2 linked regions of the Mus musculus genome follow. The main gene of each other region encodes a partner of the protein of the gene in region 2 in a complex. Links are inferred from orthologs where the notes say so. Each region holds a gene or a part of one and is shown on either strand. Other genes may lie near its edges.

Region 1 (4,602 bases), about 10 Mb from region 2:
AGGCTGCCCACTATGACACGCTGTCACACACTTACTACAAGACAAAACAAAACAAAAATAAAAAACAAAAAAACTGCCAGGCAGTGGTGGCAAACACCTTTAATCCCAGCGCTCAGGAGGCAGAGGCAGGAGGATTTCTGAGTTGGAGGCCAGCCTGGTCTACAGAGTGAGTTCCAGGACAGCCAGGGCTACACAGAGAAACCCTGTCTCGGAAAACCAAAAACCAAACCAAACCAAACCAAAAAAAAAAAAAAACAACTCAACCCTTTTATTTTCCACCAATCGTAAACATATTTTCTTTAAGCTGAAACAAAAGGTTTAGAGAAATTATCCTTTATATTAGAAAAACAGCTTTAGGTCATTCACTCAAGGTCATTCAAATACTGGTTTTAAAAAGTGGCACAATTGAAGCACACATCTTTGATCCCAGCACTCTGGAAGCAGAGGCAGGAAGATTTCTGAGTTGGAGGTTAGCCTGGTCTGCAAATGGAGCCCCAAGACAGCCAAGGACTGTTACATATAGAAACCTTGTCTTGAGCAAAAAGCAAAAAGACAAAATAAAACAACAACAAAATGCTCACAACTGTAAGTCAAAAGGCTACTTTTAAAATGTAAAACAGGAGCACTTCCATAACCATCTTCAAAACTACAAATATGCAGGGTGGCACACTCCTTTAATCCCTGCACTCCAGAAACAAAAACAGCCTGATCTCTGAGTTCAAAGCCAGCCAGATGGTCTACAGAGCAAGTTCCAGGACTGCCAGGGCTACACAGAGAAACCTTATCTCTAAAAAACAAAAAGAAGAGAGAGAGAGAGAGAACATAAAACCTTCACACTGGGGAACCAAGGGCACAAGCACTTGTGAACAGGCTGTGCGGACCCTGGCATCGTACTTAACTTGTGGGGCTTACTATTACTATTACTAGCAATTTACTAACGTGTGGGGCTTAAGTGTGGAGGAGAAATTGGAGAAGAATGAAGAAAACAGATTTCAAAGCCAGCCCACTCTGCGCCAGCTTTAACAAGGCTTAGATGTCGGGGCAGGCCACTCTAACCTAAAAGCGTAAAAAACCACATTCTACCATAACTTATTAATGATGCCAATTTGTTACCAAATAAGTCTGTCTCAGTACTAAAGATTCAACGGTCTCCACTTGGGACGGTCTGTTTAGCCAACAACCTCCACACATCAGAGTGGCTTACAGAACAATCTTCACGTGCTGTTGTTACACTGGGATCCCCTTGCATTTAATCTGATACAGAAAATCTGCCCACAGACCTGACTCCTTAGTGGAATCTGTCCAGCCAATTCATAGACTAGACGTGCAATACAAATGTTACAATTGATCGCTCGACTGACACAGATTACACTAGCTACAAATATCTGCCCCCCAAAAAAGCTGACGAGCACACCGAGGCCCAAGTAAAAAGAACCCTGTCAAAGAATCTGGAAACCAAGGCAACCCCCCAAAAAAGGTTTTGTCAGTCAAGAACACCAAACAACAGCCTGAGGGTGCCTACTTTCCTAAGTGAAGCTCAAAATAGATTTCAATTTCCAGCTGATGGGTCTCACCCGCTGTCTTTTGAACCTAGAAGCTGAAAGCAGAATAAACCGCCTGCTCTCTTTACCCGAGGAACAGGATCTATTTTGCACATGCTTATTTAAGATGCCTGGCGAGTATGGTTAATCCTCACAACCCCCGCACTGACATTTAATCGGAAGATTTGTTTTCTTTAGAGGACTTAGCTGCTTGCAAAGACATCTTTGCATTTTCAATTCACTGTTTCATACATGGCGGGGGGTGGGGGGGAGAACCCTACTTTCATAATACTTTTTTTTTTTTTAATGAACCACCAGAACCCCTCAAGTGGACCGGATCACAGAAAACAGAAACCATCTCAGCTCACGGTCAAAGGATAAAAGACAAAAGAAAGAGGCCATTTGGAGAGGGTCAGGCAGCTATAGGAATGGGTTCTGTGTCCCCCTAGTTAGTCGCCTAACCTCATGGCTTGTCACTCCTTGGTCTATTCAAAGAGCAAGTCTCCTTCCCTGTCGAGCCGCTAGCAGCCCTGCCGGTGATGCCCTAGACAAGGCAGCCCCTTTGCGTACAGTCACCCTCCACCAGAACAGGTCTTTCTCTTCTCAACACTTGTCACCAGATGCAATGATCAGTATTTGAATGTCTGTGTGACTATAGCCTCTCGGGGGGGGGGGGATAGGTTAGGTCTACGGTGGCGTTCAATACACACCAGCTCCAAAGCCTAGCACCGAAGAGACCCTCCAGCTCACGTCTAACAAATGAATGGACAGGAAGGAGTAAGGGGGCTGTCATCCCCGGGCCTCCACCACCGCACACCGAGGCCCGAGGAAGTGAAATGTGAGGGGGCGGGGGTGTCGGCGAGCCCACCCTCCTCCCCAGGAGACAAAGGAAGAGGGCCTGAGGTGGTCCAGTCCAGACAAGGAAGCGGCAGGGGTGTGGACCAGTGGGGACAAAGGGTGGCTGGGCCATGTTGGGGTCGGGTTTGCGGGGGGAGCTCGAAGATGACAGGGACCGCGGAGAGATAGAGGCGAGTGGGGGTGTCGCAGGGGCCGCGAACCCCAAGAGGGGTCTAGGGCGACGAGGATGCGCGACAGGAGTCCCCCGAGCCGGGAGGGTCGGGGAGACGGCGCGGCCTAGGGGCCCCCGGCTCCGCACCTGGTAAATAGCCGCCCAGTTCCCAGCCTTGTCGATCTCCTCGAACTCCTTCTCCATCTCCATGGCGGGACGGGTCGGCTGCCCGAGTTCCCACGGCCGTCCGCCGCGCTAGGCCGCGTCGCTCCGCGTCCCGAAGCCCGTCACCCGCCACCACCGCAGCCCCAAGCTCCCCAGCAGCGGCTTCTGCATGTCAAGCCGGCAGCCGGAAGTACGCACCCCCGCCTCACCGCGAGCTCCGCCCTCTGTACGGGAGGACCAGTCAGCTAGCGAAAAGGCGGCCGGCACTTCCGCGGGGGCGGAGCGGTAGGCGGGGCATCGCGGACGAGGCCCGAACCCGAGGAGCAGACTTGCTGCGCGCGCCGCGTGCGGCTTCCCGGGTTCCGCGCTCCGGAGGGCGCGCGCCCGTTGCCCAAGCGACCCCCGGCGGCGCGCCCACGGCGCGTGGGCCGAGGCGGGACTCGGGGAGTATCCTGAGTTCGAGCCTCAAGCCCGCCGGTTGAGTCAGGCGGCGAGGGCGTGGCCTCGAGCTGGGCGGTTGAGTGGGAGCGGCGTTTCCTGTCCCGGTCTGTTTTTCTTTTTTCTTTTTTTCCTTTTTGTCTTGGTTTTTCCAGACAGGGTTTCTGTGCGTAGCCCTGGACGTCCTCACATTCACTCTGTAGACCAAGACTGGCCTCGAACTCATAAATCCGGCTGCCTTTTTCCCGAGTTCTGGGATTAAAGGTGTGTGCCATCACTTCGGGCTCCGTTCTTTATTTTTAACTCAGGGTCACGATATTCCAGGCTGGCCTCTCACTTGCTGTCAGGCCAAGGATAACCTCTTATTTGCTGTCAGGCGAAGGATGATCCTCTCGCCTCCATCTCCCACGTCTTGGAATCACAGACATGCATTGCGGGGGATAAACCAGAGCTCCGTGCATGCTAGGACCTACTCCGGCCACATCCCAGCGAGCAGAGTGTTCGTTTTAGACAACGAATCACTCTATAGCCCGAGCTGGCCTGGAGTTCACTACGTAACCCAGGCCAGCCTCCAGCTCTGGATCTGCCTGCCTCAGTCTCCGGAGTTTTGGACAGGTGCTAACACCCAGCTGGCCACTCTGCTCTCATGAAACTTGGGAAAGTCCATAAGAGTTTTTACCCTGGCAGAATGAACGGATGGGACATGTGGTGCTAGTTTTCTGTCTTTCTCCAGTATCAAGAAAATCCTGACCAGATGTGGTGGCACTTGCCTTTAAACTCTCCAGGTAGAAGCAAGGGGTCTCTGAGTTCCAGGCCAGCCTGGTCTACATCGTTCCGGGACAGCCAGTTATACAGTGAGACCCCTTCTCAAAACAAAAAAACAACCAAAAGGGAAAAAATCTTCCTTGGGGTTTGTTGGTGACTCATAACCATCCTAACTCTAGTTTCAGGCCGTCTTCTGACCTTCAAGGGCACAGGGTATACATGTGATACCATACTACTGTACATACATGCATACAAAACCATCATACAAATAAATCTAAAAACATGTTTAAAAGAAAAAAAAAATCTTCCTCTCTGATGTCATCTGGGTGCAGATTCTGTGGTTTGTTCAGACTGCCCAGGGTGAGCACTGAATGTTGGTTCCGATGCTTGGGTTCCTTGAAGTATGTGTGAAGGATGGGATTGCCTTCCCTGGGGAAATGTAACTGGAACATGGAGTTGTAAACTTCCATTCTGGGATAGAAAGGGAGACATAGGTAGGAGCCGTGTCCTGTGCCCAGTGCCAGCTCCTGGTGTGACAGAGTGACTTCCAGTTTGCTCCAAGGGTACTGAGGTAGGCAAAAGGGCCCATGTTCATTTACTCTCCACAATCCCCCCTCACAGAGGCATTTTGATTCCCATCTTAGAGCTGCCAAGAGCAAAGCACACAGACAAAGCCCTTGTCCA
Region 2 (3,802 bases):
GTCCCACAGCAAGCTGGCTTCCCTGCCCTGTGTGTACGGCTCTATGTATCATGTGCACATTGGCTCTGGGGTCAGGCAAACACCCTCCTGTAGACATCTATTCCCCAGGGGCCTGCGGCACAAAAGTCACCTGCTCAAATCACTCATTGGTTACCTGTCAGATTTGAGAGTATCAGAACTAGTGTGAAACAGGTGTGAGAGTCTGCCCTAGGGAGGCCACACCCCGACTCCAGTCGCCTAGCAAGATCTCAGGACACAGATGAAACAGAGGATATTTGGGAGGGGGAAGTCAAGCAGGCTTTAGGAATTCTTTGGGAGCCCTGGAAGGCATTCCAGAGGAAGAGGTCCCTGGCCTGGATCTGAGGGATAACTAGGAGGCACCCCATACAGCACATCGCCTGTGCCAGAGCCCAAGATCGGCTGTGGGGTTGGAAGAGGTGCTGGGAGGTGGGAAGCTGTAGATGCGGTTGGAGGAACTGCAGGTGAAGGCATGGAGCAACCTTTAGCCACCTGGGCTTGGGGCCTTGGGACTGTATCATAAGGTTCCGTGGCAGCCCTGGAGGATTTGGTCTGGGAACCAGATGATCCCCAGAGCATCAGCAGACGGACAGAGGGGCAGCTAGTCCTCTGAGAGAGGCTGAGGCCCAGGCCAAGGAGGCAGCTCAAGTAGCTACACCTGAAACAGCCACGCACAGAAGAGCCCACACCAACCCCATCACTGCACACGGCCCGCAGCCCAGCTCCAGCCCGCTCTGCCATTCTCTATCAAAGAAGCCTCCCCCTCCTTCTCTCCCAGGAACCGGTTCAGACCAGTCTTAGGGCTGCAGAAACAATCAACACCAGCCTCTAGCCCCTCCCTTCTAGCGTGCTCAAGGCAGGCCCCCTCCTCACTGGCCAGCTGCAGCGGAAGGAGAAGAGGGGGGCTGGGCAGGGAGCAAGGGGAGAAGGGAGGAGATGGAGGAGAGGCAGGGAGGGAAGAGGCATCCCAGGGGTGAGGAGGCACGGCAGACACCCTGCTCCCCTGGGCGAGTCCCCACACGGCCGGCCGGGGACACTCACTGGAGTAGTAAGCCACGAGCTGCTGCAGGCTGTTGAACTGGGTGCGGGAGGTGATGTAGAAACCGCCGCTGTCCAGCTTGCGGATCTTGTAGTGTTTCACATTTAGGCCCTTGGCATTGTCGAAGTCGGATACAGAGAGGCAGTAGGCACCTGTGGGTAGGCAGGGAGGAGACCCCAGAGGTACCCTGCTAGTGTGTTCCTTGCTTGAGGAAGTGACTTAGTCCCACTCTCTTTCAGCCCCTAGTGTGCTGAGAGGAGCAGGGCAGCCGTGTAGGCACAAAACCCCAATGGCAGACATGCCCCTGTGCCTCACAGCCCTGGTAAGACACCTGAACCCCAAGGTGCTCACAACTGTGTGACCCTGACAAGTTGCTGCTTGCCCTGTTTCCTCCCTACACAATGAGACAACCGTGAAGAGTCACACGGTACTCAGCAAGCACTCCATAAATGCTGGCCCTCTCCAGGTATACCCACCCCGTGCCTGCCTGCCCTGTTCTGCCTACTGGACACCAGCTGAGCAGACAGGAGTAGCGGCTGGCTGTGTGGACCTGTGAGTAATTAGTCCAGGGCAGGAGGTACATCCTGAGTGTGGCCTGCAGCCCTTGCCCCTGCGCTGCCTCTCTGGAGCCTAGAAAACCTGCAGCTAAGAATGTCCTCAACAGAAACCTTTGTTAACTAAAGCCTGGATAGCCTGGATAGCCTGGATAGCCTGGGGAGAGGCAGGCGGGGTGCAGGGTCCAGCGGCCTGCCATGTAGCTGGCAGTTCTGAGTGGAAGGACTGACGGACTGTCCACCACTCACTGATGAGGCCCCTGGAGCCCCACTGGACGTCATTAGGTAAATGTGATCTTCTGGTAACATAAGTGAGTCAGGGAGAACTAGGCCTGGGACCCACCCTAACCTGTCTCAAGGCAACCCTTGGGAAGTCATGTTTTCTACAGACTGACTGCCCACTTCATGTGCACACAGAAGGCTCCGCTGACGGCATACCTATGCCCAGAGCCCACATTCTCACATTTGCCCATACCCCCAAGCCCCAGGAACCGGGACCTCGCCACATTTCACTCCAGCAACACTGCCCAACCCCAACAGTGAGCGAGCACACCACACCACACACACACACCCACCCACACACCACACCACACACACACCACACACCCATCATCCCTGTGTACTGTGCACAGCACACGGGTGTGTGTGTGTGTGTGTGTGTGTGTGTGTGTGTGTGTATGTGCACTTTTCCATCTCCCGCTGAGCCCCAGGCCCACAGGAAGCAGCCTGGCTTGGTTGCCATGGTGATGGACTAAGAGAAAGGGCAGAAACAGCAGAGACAGTGTGGGGGAAGGGTAAGGCCAGAAAAGGCCCCTGGGAAAGGGAAAAGGGAAACAGAGGGGCATACGGCTCCTGTTCCCATCTGTAAAACATATCCACAGCTGTGTCACACTCCTGGTAAACTGTACCCACTCTCCATGTGAGAAACTGAGGCCAGAGGAAGCCTTAGCTTGCGTGTCCTGTCCACCTCTGGATCATTCAGTCTTCCTCAAGTGCCACTTTAACTTTAATTCCTGTTACCTCCTCCACTGCAAGGCTCTCCCCTCCCCATCTCATGTACCAAACTCCTATTCACTCTCCAATACCCAGCTCAAGTAATACCCTCAAAGCTGAACTCTGCCAGCCACCGCTCACTCAGGCATACCTTTTGTGGTCTCACTCTCCCTCACGAGGAAGGTCCCTCTCGGGTTCTCGGCGTTGAGCAGCAGCCGCTCTGATTCCCGTCTAGTGATCTTGCCAAAGTACCACCTGGAGTGGGAGGGACAAGGCTGTGCCTGTTGGCCAGGGTTCGCTGCCCACAGTGCTGGCCCTGGGTACTGAGACCTCAGTGTGGCCAGCCTTCTACCCACTCGGGCCCACGAGGGACTCGGTACTAGAAGTGGTGGTGGCAGCGGACCATAGCCGAACAACATACTCACTCCTCAGCCTGGATGGAGTCGGAGGGCGCCACATAGTTGCTGGGGATGTAACCGGTCTGTCCCGTGCTCAGCGAGTGTGCCAGCCACCAGTCTCCCTCTCTGAGCAGGAGGGAGGGAGCAAAGAATGAGGTCACGGGGGATCGGGGTCGGTAACCTTGACCTCCCCAGGTACACGGCCAGGCTCCGCAGCAGAGGAAGCTGAGCCAGCCTGCGTACACAGCAAGCCAGCAGGAACTGGCCTGGGACATCCACCTCCATAATGACATACTGACCCAGAGGGATGCCACCTAAAACCTCAGCAGAACTGAGCCCCACGCACCCCAGACTGAAGTGTCCAGAAGCGCAGAGTGGCCTGCAGGTGCCTTAGGAGAGAGGAAGGGAGGAAGCTCGCTGTCTGGGGCAGGGATGGGAAAAGCAGAGTTTACATGAGATAGATGCCACATTAGACCTTCAAACTCTCCCCAAGCCCTGAGAGCCTGGATGCCCGATGGAGACAAGGGCTGGCGCTTCTGGCCCGGCAATAGTTCAGGCCTATCCCTTCAAACAACAGTACGTGCCCCTGTTCCAAACCATAGCTCACACCTTAAAGTCCTTAACCAAAACCTATAGGCTTCCTCCTGCAGCCTAGCCCTGTCTGGGGAAGTGAAGCCAGAGAGAACTGGGCCATGCCCAAAGTCACACAGCAAGTCATGGGGAAATGAGGTGGCTGAGCCCCAGTGCTCTTACACTAACTGCCCCAGGAAGAGGGGGAGGAGGGAGGAGGGCAGGAAGGA

Evidence for each region.
Region 1: the proteins of Src (region 2) and Ptpn1 are in contact, whole or in part, in a crystal structure (PDB 3ZMQ), measured with the Homo sapiens proteins. The link is inferred for Mus musculus from reciprocal best matches to the Homo sapiens genes SRC and PTPN1. Residues at the interface, in NP_005408.1 of Homo sapiens: Glu527, Gln529, Tyr530, Gln531, Pro532; in NP_002818.1 of Homo sapiens: Arg45, Tyr46, Arg47, Asp48, Val49, Asp181, Phe182, Ser216, Ala217, Gly218, Ile219, Gly220, Arg221, Ser222, Gln262.

The regions. Positions count from the first base shown.
Region 1 is NC_000068.7:167,930,652-167,935,253, reverse strand, and holds the start of Ptpn1 (tyrosine-protein phosphatase non-receptor type 1), read right to left. Parts: upstream 2,928-4,602; 5' UTR 2,761-2,927; coding exon 2,698-2,760; intron 1-2,697. UniProt on the Homo sapiens protein: Tyrosine-protein phosphatase which acts as a regulator of endoplasmic reticulum unfolded protein response. Mediates dephosphorylation of EIF2AK3/PERK; inactivating the protein kinase activity of EIF2AK3/PERK.
Region 2 is NC_000068.7:157,462,036-157,465,837, reverse strand, and holds part of Src (neuronal proto-oncogene tyrosine-protein kinase Src), read right to left. Parts: intron 3,129-3,802; coding exon 3,030-3,128; intron 2,860-3,029; coding exon 2,756-2,859; intron 1,210-2,755; coding exon 1,060-1,209; intron 1-1,059. UniProt on the Homo sapiens protein: Non-receptor protein tyrosine kinase which is activated following engagement of many different classes of cellular receptors including immune response receptors, integrins and other adhesion receptors, receptor protein tyrosine kinases, G protein-coupled receptors as well as cytokine receptors.